Arabidopsis thaliana: one gene and its partners. The protein of the gene in region 1 interacts with the protein of each later gene in a pairwise test. Each region holds a gene or a part of one and is shown in the gene's direction. Other genes may lie near its edges.

What was found.
Region 2: the proteins of AUX1 (region 1) and AT5G25940 interact in a protein complementation assay, tested with the Arabidopsis thaliana proteins (one large-scale study listed by BioGRID).
Region 3: the proteins of AUX1 (region 1) and AT3G62560 interact in a protein complementation assay, tested with the Arabidopsis thaliana proteins (one large-scale study listed by BioGRID).
Region 4: the proteins of AUX1 (region 1) and AT5G11680 interact in a protein complementation assay, tested with the Arabidopsis thaliana proteins (one large-scale study listed by BioGRID).

The regions. Positions count from the first base shown.
Region 1 is NC_003071.7:15,970,446-15,977,988, forward strand, and holds AUX1 (Transmembrane amino acid transporter family protein), read left to right. Parts: upstream 1-2,430; 5' UTR 2,431-2,819; intron 2,820-3,030; 5' UTR 3,031-3,047; coding exon 3,048-3,224; intron 3,225-3,317; coding exon 3,318-3,503; intron 3,504-3,591; coding exon 3,592-3,704; intron 3,705-3,800; coding exon 3,801-3,984; intron 3,985-4,262; coding exon 4,263-4,360; intron 4,361-4,881; coding exon 4,882-5,089; intron 5,090-5,175; coding exon 5,176-5,433; intron 5,434-5,521; coding exon of another isoform or gene 5,522-5,527; exon of another isoform or gene 5,528-6,113; coding exon 6,114-6,347; 3' UTR 6,348-6,735; downstream 6,736-7,543. UniProt on the Arabidopsis thaliana protein: Carrier protein involved in proton-driven auxin influx.
Region 2 is NC_003076.8:9,052,932-9,057,248, reverse strand, and holds AT5G25940 (early nodulin-like protein), read left to right. Parts: upstream 1-1,993; 5' UTR 1,994-2,097; coding exon 2,098-2,203; intron 2,204-2,287; coding exon 2,288-2,349; intron 2,350-2,606; coding exon 2,607-2,682; exon of another isoform or gene 2,683-2,893; coding exon 2,894-2,997; 3' UTR 2,998-3,127; downstream 3,128-4,317. Other genes in the region: AT5G25930 (kinase family with leucine-rich repeat domain-containing protein), read right to left, coding at 3,271-3,689, 3,771-4,317.
Region 3 is NC_003074.8:23,135,034-23,140,183, forward strand, and holds AT3G62560 (Ras-related small GTP-binding family protein), read left to right. Parts: upstream 1-2,252; 5' UTR 2,253-2,505; coding exon 2,506-2,634; intron 2,635-2,746; coding exon 2,747-2,878; intron 2,879-3,526; coding exon 3,527-3,847; 3' UTR 3,848-4,112; downstream 4,113-5,150. Other genes in the region: AT3G62540 (Pentatricopeptide repeat (PPR) superfamily protein), read right to left, coding at 1-280; AT3G62550 (Adenine nucleotide alpha hydrolases-like superfamily protein), read left to right, coding at 1,161-1,332, 1,421-1,530, 1,756-1,874, 1,954-2,041.
Region 4 is NC_003076.8:3,756,707-3,762,162, forward strand, and holds AT5G11680 (classical AGP protein), read left to right. Parts: upstream 1-2,102; 5' UTR 2,103-2,279; intron 2,280-2,686; 5' UTR 2,687-2,756; coding exon 2,757-2,866; intron 2,867-3,100; coding exon 3,101-3,212; intron 3,213-3,338; coding exon 3,339-3,410; intron 3,411-3,501; coding exon 3,502-3,728; intron 3,729-3,825; coding exon 3,826-3,928; 3' UTR 3,929-4,207; downstream 4,208-5,456. Other genes in the region: NADP-ME2 (NADP-malic enzyme 2), read left to right, coding at 1-15, 111-209, 294-383, 471-548, 674-748, 844-934, 1,028-1,156, 1,246-1,334; TIM17-3 (translocase inner membrane subunit 17-3), read left to right, coding at 5,053-5,454.

The DNA.
Region 1 (7,543 bases):
CTAAGTCGATTTCTGAAAAACGTTGTGATGTATAGCATACGCCTAACTTTTATGCTGAATGTAGATAGCTAGAAACCTAATTGTTTAAAGATGGAGAAAAAAAAACTATAGTGTCCTCCATAAAAAACAGGTCATCTCCGAAGAGTTATTTTCAAAATCGACATTAATGATCAGTTACATATTTTTTAATCATTATTTGAAACAATTATTTTATAATTTTAGCTAAGTATGTGATTAAAACAAATGAAAAAAAAAAACTCTAAAATGGAGGGATGAACATATTTGGGGAAGTGATAGACAATGATATTTCATATTTAACCATTCGTTATTGAATTTAGGAGTTGATAATTGAATGCCTATGAAAAATATGTTCCTATTGTTAGAGGTGGGTTGGAGTCTTGAAGACAGAAGACGCTCTAATATACAACTGAAGTTTGAGTTGCTTGTAAATTCAAGTTTTGTATAATTTATTTTCATTAACTGCAAACTAAAATTTATATAATATTGCGTGAAACAGAAGCAAAAGCAAGCAACTCGTTGGGTAAAATCTGCAGTTTCTGCACCAAATTAAAGAAGACCTGCAACATTGCCGCCTTTACATAAATACACACACTAGATACATAGGCTCTATGTATCTTATAGTATACGATATTTGTTTAGAATATTCTGCAAGTTGATTAAATTTCATGGATCAGTAGACTTGTTTATATTCTAAAGTTTCAAGAAATAGTCAATTTGTCTACGTATAATTAAACCGTTTCTTAGCTGGAAGTTTACGATAACGTATCCAACATTTAAGTATTGTCGAGCCATATAATTAGAGAAAATGACTAGTGAGAACACTGAGAGGTTTAGCAGCTGAGCAAGCAAGTTACTTACAAAACTTGGAAACAAAGGTTGTCACACTAATATTCACACTACGTGAGAATTCGTACAGTGCACATCAATATAATATTTTTAAAACAGCAAAGTGAAAAATGAACATGATACTATATATATCCAATTTATTAACAAAATTTTATAACTTATAGTATCAAAAATAGTAAGACTCATATTAGACCAATATATATTAATGCCTACCTACCTTTGACCTTAGGAGAAAGTATGAATAATTAACATGTATCCAGGAATGGCATTGTAGAAAATACTATTTTACATTACTATTTCATCTAAGGATTGAGATTTCATATGAATTCAATGATTTATATTTACTGCCAATATTTTTTTATCTTACTAATTTAAACGAAAGAGATATTTTAACTTGAAATAATTAGAAAATAGGTTATAGATCATTCAAACATAAAATTATTAAACTGTTCAACTATTTCTAAATGATTTATGTTAGCCGTCAGATAATTAACATGGAAAATTCTAGTTTCATCATGATAATACTCCAACTATATGTGTTAATATGCGTATAAGAGAGAGTATGGCGTAGTATCCAATCATTTCTTAGTATCATGTAGTATTTGGTATATGCCGTATAGTAGTACCCAATTATTTCTTTGATGGGCAAATGCTAATGACTAATGAGTATTTTGCAAACTCATGATCACTGAAAACATGAGCCTTCGGTCGACGATCAGGTGTCTTAAATTTGTCTGCTCTTTAATTTTTGTAGGATAAAAAATTGAAAAATTTGAACTTTAGACCATAGAATAGATTATTCCAGCTAGTAATCTAGAATAAGAATGATGTGAAAAACTTGTATTTAGTGGTTGATCATATAACCAAACCAAAGGATGATTACGTTTTCCTTAAACTCTAAAAACATGCAGATTATTGATCTGTCCATCCTAGTTTTAGGTACGGTATTAAATTTAGATAGCTGTTGAAAAAAAACAAAAGTGAAGATATCTAAATCTAGATATGTTGGAGCAAATCCAGTAGTGGATTCTAAGCAAAGTTTCTAACCTATAATAATAATAATAAAATAATAAATAATATTATTTAATTAAGATAGTTTATAAGGAAATGTGAGAGAGTTTCTAATTCAAGAGATTTTGAAGACTCTTCTAACTATTTTTAGAAACTTTTCAAATTAAATAATATTATTTCTTATTTTATTATTATTTTAGTAGATTAGAAACTATGGTTAGAAACCACCATTGAGTATGCTCTTAATTTATATCCTATAACAAGTCAATAAATCGTCAAACATTAATACGTTGCATTATTTGTTTGTCATCATATCTTAAATATTTCGAATTAAATGATACGTTTTCGTCACACAACTAATGCTTTTTAGTAGATGAAATATAGTAAAATACGATTTTATGTATTTTGAACCCATGTGGCGTTATGTTTTAATTTATTATTGGATAGTAGAAGAAGCCGGAAATTCTGGATGTCAAATAGTCACATTAATATTCAATGCGAAAACGTAAAAAAAAGTAAGATGCTACCGTTACCTAAACAAAAGTTAATGGTGTGATTTTACAGCACCTGTTTAATATTTTTAAAATTACATAAAAAAACCAAAGAGAAGTAAGAAAAAATGAAAAAGAGAGATTGGTATATAAAAAGGAGGAGTAGGGGGTGAAGCCCGAAGCATCTTATAGTATTTTTAGCTTCATTCCTTCTTTTGCTCTGATCAAAGTCTTCTCCTTCCCTTCTCTCTCTCTTTCCTCCTCTGCACATTTCTGGGTTCTTCTCTTCTTATGCTCTGTTTCTTTTAAGACACAGAAGAAACAGTACAGAGTTGAGATTTTCTTAAACAAAAGTGAAAAGAGAAGAAACAAGTGACAGCTCAAACGGACAAAAACCACTCTTGGGTCTTTCTTGCTTCTGATTCTTTCTCTTCTCTAATAGAAGAAAACGTAAGTCACTCTCTCTACTCTCTTTTTTCACACTGAAGAAGAGAAAAAACGTGAACAAAGAACTGTCAATTCTCTTTCCCTCTCTGTTTTATCTTCTTGAATTCTCCAAGATTGAGATCTCTCTCAGTCTCTTATGTGCTCTGTTTTCTCCTCTCTGTTTTCACTTAGTTACTAAACACAATCGATTCTTTCGCTCTGTTTTATTTCTCAGATCTAGAAGCTAAAAAAATGTCGGAAGGAGTAGAAGCGATAGTAGCAAATGACAACGGAACAGATCAGGTAAACGGAAACCGTACCGGGAAAGATAACGAAGAACACGACGGCTCCACCGGTTCTAACCTAAGCAATTTCCTATGGCACGGTGGCTCTGTCTGGGACGCTTGGTTCAGCTGCGCATCTAACCAAGTAAACCAATAAAACCATAAACTAAAGATTCAAAATTTCGGATTTCTCATAGTGAAGAAAGATCTGATTTGTAGTAATTATCGTTGGTTTCAGGTGGCTCAAGTGTTATTGACATTACCGTACTCGTTTAGTCAACTAGGAATGTTATCAGGAATAGTACTTCAGATCTTCTATGGTTTACTAGGAAGCTGGACTGCTTATCTCATCTCTGTTCTCTACGTCGAATACAGAGCTCGTAAAGAAAAAGAAGGCAAAAGCTTCAAAAACCACGTCATTCAGGTCCCCTCTTTAAACCCTCTCTCTCTAATCAGAATCACTAAATCATAATTATCTTTCACTAATCTAACACTTTTAAAAATCTCAACAGTGGTTTGAAGTACTTGATGGATTACTTGGTTCATACTGGAAAGCACTAGGACTCGCATTTAATTGCACTTTCCTCTTGTTTGGATCTGTTATCCAACTCATTGCTTGTGCCAGGTCTGTTATCTTTTAATCATTCTCTTTATCTTTTTAATCACTCTTTAATGATTAAGAATGGAGGATAATTGAAATATGATTGGTGTTTACTTGCAGTAACATTTATTACATAAACGATCATCTGGACAAGAGAACATGGACTTACATATTTGGCGCGTGTTGTGCAACCACTGTCTTTATACCGTCGTTTCACAATTACCGAATTTGGTCATTCCTTGGCCTTGGAATGACCACTTACACCGCTTGGTACTTAGCCATTGCCTCCATCATCCACGGCCAGGTAATGTTTTAATATATTTCACCAAAAATATATTTCATCACATTATAAAGATCACTACACTGTCGTTTTCATATTTATATGCTTTGCATTGAGGTGACAGTATATGCCTTAATTAAAAAGAAGAATAAAAAAAATTCGTATTTTCTCTTTAAGATCAGGGATTATTCTTTGCATCTTAACCCAAATTTGTATTAAAAAGTGTATGTATAATATAACTTAGACAAAATTAGCTGTTTAATATTCTCCTAATCAAATTTTTTTTTTGTTGTTTATTTTAGGCGGAAGGTGTGAAACATTCAGGTCCAACAAAGCTAGTGCTTTATTTTACGGGAGCCACAAATATTTTGTACACCTTTGGAGGTCACGCGGTTACTGTGTAAGTTACTCTTCTTTTGATTTCTTAATGATTATTAATTTTGTATCTAATAAAAGATCAATAAATTTTGTCAGACATAGTTGAATTACTATTTAAGTTAAAGCTAAATGGCAGAAAAAGTATATGGTAAATTAAAATGGTGCCATATTATTAAATTATGGGTGCTGCTGTATCGTTTCTTCGCCGCTTCTATTGCAGCTTTTGCCGGCAAATAAGGTGTAACTATTATTACAGTCATCATGATTGTCATTATTATTTTTAGCAATCCTTAAAATAGTAGTACTAATAAAATAAGCTCTTTTTAAATATAAAATAGAATAACCATTATTATTCCTATCCCTATAAAGAATAACAAACACTATTGCTACCAAAGCACTACTACTACTAGTAGGAATAGTACGCTTTTGCGAAATGTCAAATACACCCTTTTTATGCGTCAATGATTGTTGTGAATCCAATCTTTTACATAGTTAAAGTTTTGGATGAAATTATGAATATTAACAGTAATTTCTAATTTGCAGTGAGATTATGCATGCTATGTGGAAACCACAGAAGTTTAAGTACATTTACTTGATGGCGACGTTATACGTGTTCACGCTAACGATTCCGTCAGCTGCCGCCGTTTACTGGGCTTTCGGAGACGCACTTCTCGACCACTCCAACGCTTTCTCTCTTATGCCCAAGAACGCGTGGCGTGACGCCGCTGTTATCCTCATGCTCATTCATCAGGTATACACATACAACATTTTTGTTCTTTCTTTTTTAAGTAAATTTTGATCATGAGAGATTAATGCAACGTGTTCTTGTTCGTGCAGTTTATAACGTTCGGGTTCGCTTGTACACCTTTGTACTTTGTGTGGGAGAAAGTGATTGGGATGCATGACACAAAGAGCATTTGCTTAAGGGCTTTGGCTAGATTGCCTGTGGTCATACCTATTTGGTTCTTAGCTATTATCTTCCCCTTTTTCGGTCCAATCAATTCCGCTGTCGGTGCTCTTCTTGTTAGCTTCACCGTCTATATCATCCCATCTCTCGCTCACATGCTCACTTACCGATCTGCCTCCGCTCGTCAGGTATAACATCTTTACTAGCTCACTCTCTTTTAGCGTTTCAAAACTCGAACTTAACCTAAAATACATTGAGTTACCAATAATTTTTTAGAAATGAAATGAAGAGTCGGTGGAGGAATATTATAGTTGGGGGGTAGGGTTGTGAAATTGGAGGGCAAAAACGTCTTTTGTGGAAGATAGATGGGGTTCAGTGTTCCGTATCTTACGGAAGATAGGATCATCACCCACATTCCTTACTGGCGTCCCCTCCAAATAATATATTATTGAGTTGGTTTCAGCCATTTCTTTATTTGGTTACATTTAGAAGAAAAAATACAATATCCGGTTAGGTTAGTATTAGTAATTGACCATGACTTCTTTTTCTTTCTCTCTTTCAAAACAGTGTATATTAAATTTACGTAAGATAAAAGTAGAGGAAAATAGGGGAGAGGAATAGGTAAGAGTCATAATCAGAAATGAAAAGGAGCTGTACAATAGGGACTCTATGCCTAACATTAATCTAAAGTGAGAGTCTGAGTATGACAAATCACAATCATATCTCTCTCTCTCTCTCTCTATCTCATGGGTCAACAAAGCTTTGGATTTTGTCCATTACTATACGACCAAAACTCTAAAACACTTACACACTCTCTATTTCTTTAATGGTTCTCTGATTATTTTTGTGTTTTGGATCTTTCTTGTAGAATGCGGCGGAGAAGCCACCGTTCTTTATGCCGAGCTGGACGGCGATGTACGTGTTGAATGCTTTCGTGGTGGTTTGGGTTCTTATAGTCGGATTTGGGTTCGGTGGATGGGCTAGTGTAACCAACTTTGTTCGTCAAGTCGACACTTTTGGTCTCTTTGCCAAGTGTTACCAATGTAAACCAGCTGCAGCCGCCGCACATGCCCCGGTCTCCGCTTTACACCACCGTCTTTGAGAGATCGAGTCAGGGTTCTTCTAATGCGTTTGTGGAGGGTTCTTAAAATTATTTGTTCTTCTTTTGTGTTTTGTGTTCGTATACGTGAAGGGAGTAAAAGTCACGAAAATAGTGTACTTTTTACACACCCCTTTAAATGCGTGCTAAGCTCTTAATTATTTTTTTCTCTTTTGGGGTTTTGTATTTTTGTTTTCACTCCTTAGTTTTTTTTTTAAAATTGAATAGTCGATAATATGTAGTGTGTGATTTCTTAATTTGGTATTGTTAAAACAATAGGCTAAGAAAATGTATCGTCTTCTCTCCTTTTACTTGTCTTTAGTAACAAAAAACAATTCTTATCTTATACATTTATCCTAATTAGACTTATATAAACTATTTTACCATGAACAATATCTTCCGATACTAGATAATTCTTTAGGATCCTATTAGATCTTTTAATTATACAGTTTTGATCATAGCACAGCGACAATACTACTAAGTTTACATTAAAATTTTGAAATAACACTTTAATTTATTTGGAAAATTTGATTTAACGGCAGGGTGTGTTTAAAAATTAAATAGGGGAACATGGACAAGTTGGACCGACGGAGCCGGTCATATATCCTATGGGCCACATGGGTGTGGGGAGAGGACGCACGTGGATACTTCGTCCGAGTCACGTGCCATTATTTACTTGACACTCTTCATCTTCTCTCTGATCAAAAGAATGGATCAGAGGACCGTTCCTGTCCCTCATATTAAATATGGCATGTGTTCGTTCCATTCGTACTCAATCGTTTACCCCTTATCATATGCTCTGCTTTCACATGTACTTTGCCCCCAAAGATTATAACTATATATGTAAAATTATTAACTAATATTCTCGTTTGAATCCAGAGTCCGATTCTTGTACTTTCCATCTGACTTTTTTTTTGTTGGGGGTCAAAATAAAAAAGAACTTTGCAAAAATGTTTCTTCTAATAGCATAAAATCGTTAAAGAGAAAAGAAGAAGTGAATGTGAGTCATATTATGCGATATGGAGTAGGACCCTTGGTAACGTTTGGTTAGTGACCCTTGGTAACGAGTGGGTTCAAATTGTCAATAAACTATTATGTGGCGAGTGGTGAATCGTCTTTAATTTGTTCTGATTTAGGCCATGTGAGTTTTGCAACTACATTTGAGGCTTTTCTTCTTCTTTATATTAGACTTTTTTTTT
Region 2 (4,317 bases), on another chromosome or scaffold:
TATAAGGAGAAGGCAAATTTTAATTGTGTCTAAGTTACTATATATATATATATAATTATGTACATATAATTAATTTTGTATTAAATTAAATATTTGCTACCCTTTATGGAGCTTATATACCAAATTTTGTATTAAATAAAAAATAAATAAATAGTCTTTAACCTTTATAAGGTACTGAAAACCTTTAATTCGTATAAATTAATATATATGTTTTGTTTCACAATAACTAAAAAAATAAGTAAAAGTAGAAACAACAGATATGTAAGCTCTATAAGTAGTAGGAAAAATGTAATTAAGGATCCAAAATAATAATATTTATATTTTATTTGCAACCGAAAATTTTATAGACAACTCGCATTGAAAATGTTCTCAACTTGTTTTTATAGGAGGCAATACTTCTTGCGGTAGGGTTCAATTATATTGGTGCTCAATCAGGGAATTGTCCGATGCCATTTTCCAGTGGAATTTGATAGAAAATTTAAAATTAAGCATCAAAAAGTTGTCTGATGGCATTCATCGGAGTTGTCTTGAATCACCATTTTTCCGTTTCATCTCCTAACGTCTGTTTTTCACTTAAAAAGTCTCCAATTCCAGTATAACTTCGTAAAACTTGTACAAAACAACCGAAAAATACATTAAAAACGAACAAAAATGTGACAAACAACTCAAAACAAACACTAGACAAAGGACATAAGACACTAAAAACACAATATACCACATACAATTTTGGAGACACCCGCACACCGCTCTTCACCTCTTGGACTGTCAGTAACATTATGACATGACTATAGACATTACATTCACTTTCATGAAATTTACAACTACTCTTTGGATTTGGGTTGCAGAAAGATGCATACAGTAAAACAGCTCCATCAACCTCTTATGCTCATGTTTCATGCACATAAGTACTCAATTAGCCATAGGTGGAAGCTTAGACCCTGTTTCGACTTTCGAGTAGCTCGGATATATATGCATTATATCACATATCCCTTAGCACCATATTTTCTAATTTAATTTACAATATCACTCATTGCCACAAGTGTATAAAAACCATAGCAATAGAAGGGTATCAAAGTTCAAGTAACCAATTAAATTAGAACACTAGAAATACATTCTATCATCCAATCTAAGCAATCAAGTTAAATCATTAGAACAATATTGAACTACCGCCGAAGTAAGATCTCGTCTACCGGAGATATTGTCAGATTCTTGCCTCCGTTTTGTATTTGTTGTTTTGATTTGTAAAACTTTGGCTCAAGTCCAATTCAGGTATTATAATATTTTTAAAAAAAGAATATTGAACTATTAATAAAATCTTAACATTTTCTGTTGGTCCCTAGTACTTTTGATGGGCTCTCTATATCTTCGCTTTTGTATGTTTGAAGCATTAAGGCCGAATTCATTTAAAACTCAACTTCTATACCAAAAATTTTATTTTAAATTTTATGTAATTAAAATAAACTAACCAATTTTTTAAAAATTACTATTTTAATCACATATAAAATTAAGTTTTAATTTATCTTTCTATACAAAAATATCATCATTAATGAAATTAACTAATTTATTATATTTTTTTAATCATTTTTTCACTTATAAATTTTATCTAAAACTGAATCGATTAATTTCTTATATCTCTAAAGATATCCGTATGGTAACAAAATTGACTCCAAACATTTCTTAAGTCGATTTCTAAAACCGCTCCAAAAGACCATTGTGCATTAAAAATACTAAAAATCTAAAATTTAAAATATTCTCAATAACAAACATTTACGAACCACTGAATTTTATTTTATTTTAAAAATAATCTATAACATAATAATTGTTTTATCTGTTTTCTAACACAAATTATTCTAAATACATGATTGAAATACATTTCTAAATTGGCGTTTTATAGACTATAGTATTTTGACAACTTTGTTTTCAATATTGGCGTTTCATTATTTTGGTGAAAGATTCCCAACTTATAAAAAAAAAAAACGAATTTTTAATTTTCGTCCTAATCATTTATTTCCTAACCAAAGAAAAAGGCAAATCGCGACCCGTCTCTCTCTCTCTCTCTCTCCTTGAAATCGAAAGATCAAAAAAGCGACACTGAAAATGGAAAATCGGTCAGAAATGGGTAACCGGAGGCAGCAGAATCTCTTCGTCATAGCTTCTCCCGACGAGATTGCTAAGATCCATCGAGCCGAAACTTCCAAACAAGGTCTCTTCTTCTTTCTCCGTCTCTCTCTCTCTTTTTTCCCCTAAAAAAAATCTTTTAAATTGATGACTTTGGATTATGTTACAGCCGGAGCTATTGCCGGAGCTAAGGCCGCCGCCGTTGCCGCCGTCGCCAGTGCGATTCCCACAGTAATCATATAATCTCACTTATCTAAATTTTTTAAATTGAGATCTTAAATGAATTAAATGTAAGAGTTATGTTTCTTTGTTGTTGAATTTTAAGACAAAAGTGACTCACCAATCTCATGTTCTGTAATAATCAAGAGTTTCAATTTTGTTACCTATTCATTTTGTGATTTCTGAATACACCAAGTAGAGTCACATTCTTTTTGATGTGTATATAAGATATGAATTTGGTACATAAGCATGCCTTGTTTTCGTAACAGGTAGCTGCCGTTCGTATGTTCCCGTGGGCTAAGGCAAACCTCAACTACACTGCTCAAGCACTCATTATTTCTTCAGGTTAGCTCTATCAGCAATATGCCTTAAATCATTACTATATGTTCTTCCTGGAACTAAGTAGAAAAAAGATACTAGCTTTAACATTGTTGTAGAAACCTCGAACTTCCCTTTTGAACCTAGTTGAGTTTGGGGTTTTTAAGTATTCGTACATTCATTTCTCCACAATTTTCTTCTGATTTCTATCTTGTGATTATGGTGATCATTGGAACAGCTTCTATCGCTGCGTTCTTCATAACCGCGGATAAAACGATTCTACAAGGCGCAAGAAGAAACACCGAGGCTCAGTTAAAGAAAGTTCAGCAAGACTCTAAATAATTTCTCTTCTTATTGTAACACAAATCAATCATCATCTTTCTCTGTTTTGTATGCATATTTTGCCTTGATTCTTAATAAGAGTGTTATTATTATAAGGAATAACAAATTCTTTAAGACCATTTTTTATTCAGACTTTCAGATTTTGTTCTCAAATAAGTTACAAGCTGGTAGTTATACTCTTAACTAAAACTTTGCTTACACAAAAACTAAATGGTTTCTAATACATTTGTACATTTCACAAAAAAAACAACATCAAGTGTTGTGATTATTTGATTATACAAAACCTAAATCTTCATCTTCTACCCTTTTACTTGTCCTTCGACCCGATAAACTAACTAGTAGAGGTGCCTCATATGCCTCTGTTGCAGTCTTCTTCGTCGCCTCAAGTCCTTGTTGGCGCAGAACATACAAGACCTCTTTCATGGAAGGTCTATGACTAGGCAATGTGTTAGTACACATGAGACCTAGCTTGAAAACTGTTGTCATCGCCTCAGTCGTGGAAGCTTCTTTGATGTCCTCATCAAACGCCTCTGCGGTCGGTTTTCCAGATTGGTAATGTTTCCATGACCAATCTGCTAAGTTTGTGTGTTCATCTCCGTTGTTTCCTTCTCTTCCAGTCACCAGCTCTAGCAAAACTACCCCGAAGCTGTACACATCGATCTTCTCATCTACCTTTGACGTATATGCGTATTCTGCAACATAAAAATATTAGAGATCACACAATGAGCGACTCTATTCGACTCTAAAGAATGTTTTTTGTTTACGGGTATTACCTGGAGCAATGTAACCAAAGGATCCAGCAACAGCTGACATGGTATGAGGTTCTTGGTTTTGCTTAATCAACAGTTTAGCCAACCCGAAATCTGCAATCTTCGCGTTGAATTCAGAATCAAGCAAGATGTTACTCGACTTGACATCTCTATGTATGATTGCGGGAGTACAATCATGATGCATATAGCAAAGTCCTTGAGCTGCTCCAACTGCGATATTCAACCTCTGTGACCATGTAAGGTTATTAGCCTCTACGGTACCTCCCTTCTTCTTTCCATGTAACCATTGATCAAGACTGCGTTTCTCGAGATACTCATACACTAGAAGCTTTGAATCTTCCCTTGAGATACAACACAATAGTTTCACTATATTCGAGTGCCTGATCGTTCCAAGAATCTCAACTTCAGCAATAAACTCCTTCTCAAGTTTCTGGTCCAGTTTCTTGCTGTCCCATATCCTCTTCACTGCCACACATTGTCCCGAGCTTTCGACGAAAATCTTGTAAACTTTGCCCGATCCGCCACTACCGATCACGTAGTGTTCCATCAG
Region 3 (5,150 bases), on another chromosome or scaffold:
TAGAGAAACCTCTACACCCAAGACTCGCATCAAGCAGTTGTACAGAGGAGTGTGGCAATGGAATTTGACGGTAAGGATGATAAGTAGAAGAATGAATCATACGAGAGAAGAGAGCACCGGAAAATCGTACTTCCTCTTCTCCTCTCCCGCCGATTACGCGGCTTTGACTGGAAATGAATTCATCGGCATCGAATGAAGAAGAGCAAATGAGGAATCTTCTTAATGAAGTCTGAGTGGAGCTTCTTCTCCTAGAGAGATAGAGCCATGGAGCAGCAGCCATGGAAGCTCGACGGCGATTAGCAATGGCGAAGTCGGTGAAAAGCCACTGATTTACGGCGGAGAGCTCTTCACGTATTTGGGCCTTTGTTTGATTAGAAGCTTTGAGTGATAATAATTTTGACCCATTAAAGGCCCATTGATCTGGTCACATATAACCATTGGGTCCACCAGGAGCATTAAAGCTCAAACGCATAAAGAATTTTTATTTTTTAGTTGGAAGGTATCTGTATGCATCTTATCTTCGTTTTAGGGTCGTGATATTTTCTCAAGTTTTTCTTAGGGGACCAATTTATTTTTAGATTTATTTGATTCTATCTTACATTTCTCTTAGTTCACGTTGTCTTTGTATACGTGTTTATGGATATTACATAACTGAAAATCAAGATCAGTCAATCAGTGTAACATCAATCATCAATAACCCTGCGGGATGTATATAAAACTAAGGGATATATGAGGAAAATCAGATTCCAGATTAAGTTCATAAATATTGATTCACCTAAAATCTATAATAACATAGTAGTTCAGAAGCATGAAATAATTCTATAAAAAATCATGAATTATCTACATAAAAATATCGCATATTGTAGATAAGAGTCACCCCTGAAAGAAAAACGATAGTTTTCTGTATTTGGTTATCAATCAATCCTATGTGGGTTTATATCTTATCTAATGTAAAAATTACACAAAGGATAGTGTCTGCAAATATCTAAATGAAAACACTTAATTCCAAAATGAGAAATCAAGTGGGTTTTGCCTAGCTAATTGTATAAATAGTAACACAATCATAATCTCTTCTTCCATCAGGTCTTCTTCATAATATATTTCTTCTCTAATAATTGAAAGCAAAAGAAAACAGTTTTTTTTTTTAGAAAGGTAAAGAAATGGAGGAAACAAAGGAGAGAAAGATAGTAGTAGCAGTAGACGAAAGCGAAGAGAGCATGGAAGCTCTGTCATGGAGTCTTGACAATCTTTTTCCATATGGTTCCAATAATACACTCATCCTCCTCTACGTCAAGCCCCCTCTTCCCGTTTACTCTTCCCTCGATGCCGCAGGTTAGTCCTCGTTCTTTCACGATTCATATCTTTCCCTAATTATAATCTGTTCACTTTAGTTATAGATTTTTGTTTGGTCGATTTCCAGGGTTTATAGTGACAGGAGACCCGGTTGCAGCTTTGAAGAAGTATGAATACGAGCTCGTGGAATCGGTCATGGCTCGGTCTCGAACCGTGTACCAAGATTATGAGTCTGATGTAAGCTTATTTCTATCGATTTTTTATCACTTAATTTGCTGGATTATACTTGCTTAAAAAACTTGAGAAATTATGAGAAAGTGAATTTAATCAAGTAGTTATGAGTTAATCTGTTTATCATGAGCAATATTTAGTACAAAAAATATAACATATGATAAGCAAAATATGGTTGTTTTCAAAGAGAGTTGGCGAAATAAATGTAAATATAACCAAATTAATGTGCAGATTAATATAGAGAGACGAGTTGGAAGAGGAGATGCTAAGGAAGTTATATGCAACGCAGTTCAGAAACTTAGAGTTGATATGTTAGTAATGGGCACTCATGACTATGGCTTCTTCAAAAGGTAAGGTTTCAATCTCTTATAAGAAACAAAAATATTTTGGTTTAATGGTTATTTGATAATCATTTGATATATTTGATAGGGCTTTGCTAGGGAGTGTGAGCGAGTATTGCGCCAAACGAGTCAAGTGTCCTGTGGTTATCGTCAAGAAGCAAGCTCAAGATAATTAAGCTCATATGATTGCATTGTGTATATGTTTCGAAAGAACTGGTGTAACACTTGAATCAATCTTCGTATGCGATAATAAAATACATAACGGTTTAAACAAATTTAGCAGATATTTTTGCTTATATAAAACTAGCTGACAATGACATCAATCAACCAATTAAATTCAAATCTACATTCTCTACATACAATGCCAAATTAAAAACTAATGTAAACGCAAATTTCAATTTAACGTATAGAAGAATGTAATGAACCATATACCAAGTTTTGAATATTTGCAATTTTGTTGTTTGAACACTTAATTGTTGTTCGCTTCAAAGTTCAATAAAGGCCTCAAGGCCCAAAGTATATCTGTTACTCATCCAGTCGACACAGTCATACTTAAACGTCGCCGTTTCCGTGTTCGAAGCTTCGTGAAAATCTTCAATCTCGCGAGAGAGAAGAAGAAGAAGAAGAAGAAGAAGAAGCGATGTTCCTGGTGGATTGGTTCTATGGAGTTCTGGCAACTCTGGGACTATGGCAGAAAGAAGCGAAGATTCTGTTTCTAGGTCTCGACAACGCCGGCAAAACCACCTTGCTTCACATGTTAAAGGACGAGGTTCGTTTTCTTCGAGCCATATCAGTAATCGCTGTCTAGAATCTTGTTTCTTTTACTTAGCGCGAACGAATCAAAGTCTTAATCAGCGATAATCGTTTGATTTGGGTTTCAGAGACTGGTCCAGCATCAGCCGACACAGCATCCGACATCGGAAGAGCTTAGTATCGGCAAAATCAAGTTCAAAGCCTTCGATTTGGGAGGTCATCAGATTGCTCGTAGAGTCTGGAAGGACTATTACGCTAAGGTTTGATCTTCTTTCTTCTTTGGATTTTATTGTTAGGTCAATCAATTTAGCAAGTCTTTGGAAGGACTATTGCGCTCGTATAGTTGTATGTAGACTCTAAGCTGACTCTGTTATAGATTACAATCTTCCCTGTGCCCATATAAACAATAGTTAGATGATAGAGGTGAAGTGAAATCTTCAATGAAGTTTGTCATATAGCAATTCTCTTTTGAATGTTGCAGCATGAGGTCCTGTGATTACATTCTGCTGGTTATGTGTACCTAGTAAGCTCTTGCTGTGTACTACTCCTACTCTGTTCCTTAGCCACTGTGTTGCTCCGTTGGGTTATATAAGTTTGCAGATGATAGTTTGAAATGATTGAGCTATAGTAAAATCTTCAGATGATAGATATACATATACATCATATACTGTAGTTTAAAATGACATTGTGATTGGTATGTGGAGCCAGTGGAGGTTGAAAATTAGAAGATTGTATAGCTATAGACTACTCTTACTGTCAGTTTTAGAGTCATGAGGTCCCTTGTGATTTACATTCTCATAGCTGATGATTCCAGTGAATCAAGAGATTAATAGACTCCGGTGTTTCTATTAGCTACCCTCTTTGCATTCTATCTTCAAGTTTGTAACTTTATTATTGTCTCGTATTAGGTTGATGCAGTGGTATACCTAGTTGATGCATATGACAAAGAGAGGTTTGCAGAATCAAAGAAAGAGCTTGACGCTCTTCTCTCTGATGAATCCCTAGCAAATGTCCCTTTCCTCATCCTTGGAAACAAAATCGACATTCCGTACGCTGCATCAGAAGACGAGCTGCGTTATCATCTAGGCCTCACCAGTTTCACCACTGGGAAAGGTAAAGTGAATCTAGCAGGAACAAATGTTCGTCCTCTTGAGGTGTTCATGTGCAGCATTGTCAGAAAGATGGGTTACGGCGAAGGATTTAAATGGGTTTCTCAATATATCGACTAGATCAATCATATTTAAGTCTTATCTATCTATACTGTGTGATTGGTATCTGTACGTGTTATAACCTAATGTATAATTACGATTAATGTGTGTATACAACAAGATTTGACGGCTTTTAAATTATCAATTTTGTGTTTACAGACCAAAGTTGAATCCTATGAAAAGTGTGAACCCATTTGTCTGTGACTGTGTAACTGTGTGGGGCTTAAGAAATGGCTGTATCTTAGCTTTTTTATGAAAATTCGAAAGATGAACACTTTTACTTTAATAATGTAATGTAGAGAAAACCCCATGTGAATCGAGTTTGACAATTAACAATCACAATGTCCTACACTGAAAACCAATCAATTTGACACATAGATGTACCATAATGAGTGTACGTATATTGTTTTACATGTGTTATGTCTCTTTGTGAACTTATCATTATGTCTGTTTTTCTTCTTTCTAGGTATTGTGAAATGAACACAAACAGATCTATGGATAACCATGTATTTATTTTCATTAAAATATGTGAACAATAATACTCCAAAATAGTTCACAAAATAAGTAAAAAAATTTGCTTTTTAGCACCATCACAATGCGTCTTTGATCTCAGCCGCTTCCAAACGTTCAAGTCGCAGCGTAATAAGGCTAATAGATTAGATTTTGCGACTCAAGATTTTGCAGCTCAAGCATATATATGTCTACGGACTATGCAAATATGGATGTGTAAGAAAACTATTAGGTGCTCACTTTCTCTTTTTATAACTTTTTCAGAACATTTCTCCTTTGGACTGATTCTTCTCTACGTGGCCCAAAGTTAATATCAAAAGTTTTTTTTTAACGTATTATTTCTATCATTTGTTATTAATTTTTTCTCCTTTGGATTGATTCCTTGTTACAGTTTTTGCTCTTCTTTTTACTATGCTGTTTCTTTTTTATATTCGCCACTAGCTAGAGACTGGTTCTATGTCCCAGGACCCATGAAATACCAAGCACGAAAATGTGACCAAATGAATAATTTGATTTAAGTTTTTTGCTTGAATGAGAAAAGTTTTTTTTATATATAAAAAAATGTCAAAATATTAAAACTCATTCGATTGATTGCGTGGAGAAGAGAAAAATAAATTTAGAAGAAGTATTAACTTGGTTTTTGGGGTAAAGGGATGCACATGGATCCCTCATTCCCACGTGATATCTAAGCCAAGAACACGTGCCTCCCTCTGAGCTATCTGACTTTTATGTGATTGGTTTCAGTTTTTAGTTCAAAACCCAAAGCTTTTGGATCCAAAAGAGGTCTCTATCGTATGCATTTGAGCAAAACTAG
Region 4 (5,456 bases), on another chromosome or scaffold:
CTTGTGGACTCCAAGGTATTGTTAGGCGCCAACCACCAAGATCAGTCTCATCTTTTTTAGCTATACCGTTCTTGTTCATATATGTTTCTCTTTTGAACATTATTTTGCAGGGACTGATTGTTAGCTCACGCAAAGAATCTCTTCAGCACTTCAAGCAGCCATGGGCACATGAGCACAAACCTGTGAAGGACCTCATTGGTGCTGTTAATGTACGTGATGAACTGATCTTTAAATTGCTTGATAGTGAATAGAGAATCTTTTTGTTCACTGTTTGTTGAAACTTTTTCAAACAGGCAATCAAGCCAACCGTTCTCATTGGAACATCCGGTGTGGGTCAGACTTTCACAAAAGAAGTTGTCGAGGCCATGGCTACCAACAACGAGGTTTCTTCTTGTTCTTACTCTCTGCTTTTTCAGAAAACAAGGTATTTATGCTATTTTTCTAATGCTGGTCTTGGTGTTGGCTTATAGAAACCGTTGATTCTTGCTCTCTCAAACCCTACTTCTCAAGCTGAGTGTACTGCTGAACAGGCTTACACATGGACCAAGGTATAATATTGTCTCATATGACATCTAAATGTGATTCATGTCCTCACTCCTGATTATACAACAAAATTATAATTTGGTTTTCATGCTGCTCCTCGAATCTAATCATATATTGTGCTTAAAAAAAGGGTCGTGCAATCTTTGGAAGTGGAAGCCCATTTGATCCTGTTGTGTACGATGGCAAAACCTACTTGCCTGGCCAGGTTCGTGCTATTTCAACAACTTCTTCTCTCTCAACTTTGTACATCTGACAATCTTAGAGCTCACATCATATTTCCACTATCCTACTTAACTTCAGGCAAACAATTGCTACATTTTCCCTGGTCTGGGTCTTGGTTTGATCATGTCTGGGGCAATTCGTGTCCGTGATGACATGCTCCTCGCAGCTTGTAAGTAAAAATAAACTTCAGAAAATCAAACATGGATACTGATAAAGACACTTAAAGATTCTCAATGTCATCTCTCTCTCATGTTTTCAACAGCTGAAGCATTGGCCGCACAAGTGACAGAAGAGCATTACGCCAATGGTCTGATCTACCCGCCATTCTCAAACATCAGAGAGATCTCTGCTAACATTGCAGCCTGTGTCGCCGCCAAAACCTATGACCTCGGTTAGTTGAATGAAACTGTCTTAACTCTTTTAATGAGACTGTCTGAACTCTCTAATCTCAAGTTCTAAAATCGATGTATTGTGGTGTAGGATTGGCGTCGAACCTGCCACGTGCAAAGGATCTTGTCAAGTTTGCAGAGAGCAGCATGTACAGCCCTGTGTACAGAAACTACCGTTAAAAAAGTTTTGTTGAAGAAACCTGCAGATTATACTATTCACAACCCTTGATAGTTTCTTAAGGCTTGTATTTAAGTTTTTTGTTTGTTTGTTTGTTGTTTGTTTTCTCTTCTACATTATGATGCTGTTTGTGAACTCTCTCTCTGTCTTTGCTGATAAATAATAAATTGTTACTAATATAATCTACAAATCATTATTGTCTCAAAGTTACACTTTCCATCCCACATCACAAAATCGATCAACTTGTCTTGGAAGGGAATAATATGCTTTTTTCTGCCACTTGTTGTATCTTATTGGTTGTTTTATTAAAATGGTATAATTGTTGCAGAATTAAAGAACTTGTATCATTATTTTGAAGAGTTTATCAAAAGTTTCATATAGATAATAGGACTATAGAAGCATAGCTGAATACTCTTTTGAAAGTGGTTTCTAAATTGTACTGAGCAAAATGTTCTAAAAACAACAAAACTCCTAATCTTAAGCTAATGATTTTGGCATTTTAGGTAACTACTTGTTATAAATAGCTAAAACAATAACAAGAATCTCTAAAACTCGTCTTCACGTTTTGGTTAAAATCGAAAGCTCAAACAATCCAAACCAAAACTAAACCGAAACAAGATGTCAAAAAAATAAATAAACACCTAAACCGAAACCAAAGTTAAAACAACTGAAAATGGGCTGAACGGTCCCTTTAATCTGAGATGTAATAAGGCCCAAATAGTAACTGTAGATGGGGACAATTGTAACGAAATCAAATTGCGGGCGAAAATCGAACTAAAGAAATAAGTAGAGGGACGAATAAAATGGTTAGAAGGTTTTAAGAATAAACCGCGTCGCGTCTCTTTTCTGGAAAAAACGAGAAACTGTGATCTTGGCCCTTTTATTACCCCTATCCTCTTCTTCTTCAATCTCTCCGATCAAAATCCTTTTAAGCTCTGTAGACCCAGGTATGTTCCTTCAGCTTTTCTATTCGCGAGAAAATTACGAGTAAAGGATTGCTTGAAATTGAACTTGGATCGTTCTGTTACTGCTTTCTTATTGCTATCAGATTTTGATTCTCTAAGGAATTAGATATTTTCTTTGTTGATTGATTTGTTTTGAACACGTATTATTAATCCTAGTCTTTGTTTCTACATTATAGGAACGTTTCGATTTGAATTAGCTAAAAACCTCAATTTTATTTGCTCTTTTGCATATCTGAAATTGGAAGCTGATGATATGTGGATGTTAATTGGCTCTAGTTACTTGGATCTGTGAATAATTATTTGCTAATTTGGAGCATGTTCCTTTGAATTATCTTCTGATTGTCTAAGTATATTTGGAAATGTGTTTATATTCTCATTTGTGTGATCAGGTTACGCAGAGAAGAAGAACAGAACAAGGAATTATATAATCATTGGCTTGATCAATCTGAATTGCAGTTCATGGCGCTAAACCCTCAATTACTACCCAATGGGATGCCTGTTCCCTTTGTTAATGAAATGTTCGTCCTAGTCCGAGATGGTGTTGAGTTTGAAGTCGACAAGATCCCTGGGTTCGTGTTCCCTTCTCTCGTCACGCATGTTTTGGATCTCCTTAAGTGGTTTATTGATTTGATGATTATTGTTGGTCTCCATTTTAGTACCGTTTTGAGTCGGTTTAGATCCACTCATCTAGCATATGAACCATTAAGTTTACTTGTAAATAAGATAAGTCTCAGAAGTGAACAGACATATGAGCTCTGGGCTTTAAACACTTCCCTGATGTTCTTTCTTGTTGTATGATCCAGAGGGCATGGAGGTCATGTTAAGGCCAAGGGGGTGATTTACTTGTCTAATATACGGATGGTCTTTGTTTCAAGCAAGCCTGTTGACAACTTTGTTGCTTTTGACATGCCCCTGGTACAGTAACTTTATCTTATTTTTGTCTCTGATTTAGTTAATACATGGCACAAGTGTAGCTCTGTTAAATTTGGTTATGGAACTACATGCTACATATTAGCTTATGGATTATATGTTACTCTGTAGCTTTACATCCATGCCGAGAAATTTAATCAGCCAATATTTCACTGCAACAATATTGCTGGACAAGTGGAGCCTGTAAGTACAAACTTTCATGGAGAATTTATAGTTTCTTTCCTTGTAAGGAAACTATACATATTTACTTATTGGCATGTAACAAAATTTCCAGGTGGTGCCAGAAAATGAGCATAGAGCTCTATATTCAACACACAGTTTCAAGATCCTATTTAAGGAAGGTGGTTGTGGGACATTTGTTCCTCTCTTCTTGAATCTCATATCATCAGTGAGACAATACAACAGACAAATGCAACAAGCAGCAGAAGCAGCAGCGGCAGCTCCTCATGTTGATCCTCTTCAAGCCGCTCAGACACCTGTGGACGAAATGATGAGACATGCGTAAGTCCCATCAGAAATCAATCGGAAAGTTTTTTGATAGTAGTAAAAGCTGTTGTTCCTCATAAAATCTTGTGTGGTCGTCATTGTGTATGTGCAGGTACGTGGACCCTAATGATCCAACGAGGATATATCTGCAACAGCCATCAGGGGAATCTCAGTTGAGGCGTAGAGCTTACCATTCGGGTGCGGCGGAACATTGAGATACACGGAAAAAAAAAATACAAAGGCTATGAATACAGAAACAGCAACAGATTAGTGTTGCTAATAAGCAAAACGTGTTGTTTGTTTGTTTAAAGTTGAAAACTAAAAGTCTAAAACCATCTGTGTAAAGAAAGATGAGACTTGTTTGGTGTGTGGATGTATCTGGTAAAATTGGAGTCGTAATAATCATAAGTTTGGTTCATATATTGAACAAAATGTGGGTCGAAAACCCTGCCGGTTCGCCTGAACCATGAAAAGTCGGATTTGGCTGATCCGCACGCTCAATTTTCTTCAGCTAAATCGCGAATACTTGAGCTTGTAGTAAGTCGTGGCCACTAGTGGGACACACAAAACCACAAAACATATATTTTGCAAGCTAAAACCCAATGGACTAAGATTTGAGGTTCAGGGTTGGACCATAAAATTTGGAATGGATAATCGGATACTTTAGGTTGGGTTGGTAGTTTTCAATATTGAAATTGGGTTTTTGGACCTTTCCTTAGTTTTTGATTTAAAACAAAATTGTAAAAGAAAATGAAAATACGAAGGTGGCATTCTAGCTTTATTTTCCAGAGAAAGTGGCTTTCCAGCCATTTATTAAAAAAAACAAAGACCAGGGTGTTTTTTTTCTGACAAAACAAATTGTAACACTCACTAGGCATAGCATTCTAGTTAGTTCTGCAGAAATTTATAGCGACACTGGTCCAAATTAGGAGGAGCGAGAGCGAAGGTACGAGTGAGGATTTACAATTGTCGATCGTTTTCACCTAGAAACCCTAATTTCGGGGGCTCGCACGCCCTCTCTGATTAGAAGCGACTTCATTATCGGTCACTAGAATCTGCTGCTTCTTTTCTGGTTAGTGTTTAACCAAGCTCCGTTTTGTTTGCTCTTAATGGAATCAGAATTTCTATCATTCCTAGATTAGTTTCTGTGATGTATATCTCTGGTATTCGGATTCTTGTGCTGAGCTCAATTCATAAGCGGAGGATTTCTTAGCTTCGATAATTAGCCCTTTTCAAAATTTGCAGCTTTTTATGCGGTTTGTTCTTAAGATGATTGGTTCATTCAGTTTTGTTGTGAGATCTCTGACCTTCCTCTGTAGAAACTAGCATTGTCAGGAACATGGACACTAAGAAGAAATCTAAGGAACATGGCCTATACCGTATAGTCAATGCTATCGGTTATGCATTTGGAGCGGGAGCTGTTGGAGGTTCTGTATATCATTTCGTGAGAGGGGCATACAATTCCCCAATAGGTGCTCGATATGTTGGAGGAACACAAGCGGCTAGCATGAATGCTCCTCGCTTGGGAGGCACTTTTGCTGTATTTGGAGGATTGCTCTCAACATTTGACTATGCATTGGTGCGCATCAGGAAGAAGGAAGATCCATGGAACTCCATCGTAGCGGGTGCTGCTACAGGTGGAGTTCTGTCTATCCGAAAAGGGGTTGTTGCAGCTTCAACATCAGCGGTTATGTTTGGTTTTTTTTTGGCTGTACTCAACCCTCCGTTCGGGAGCAAGTAAGC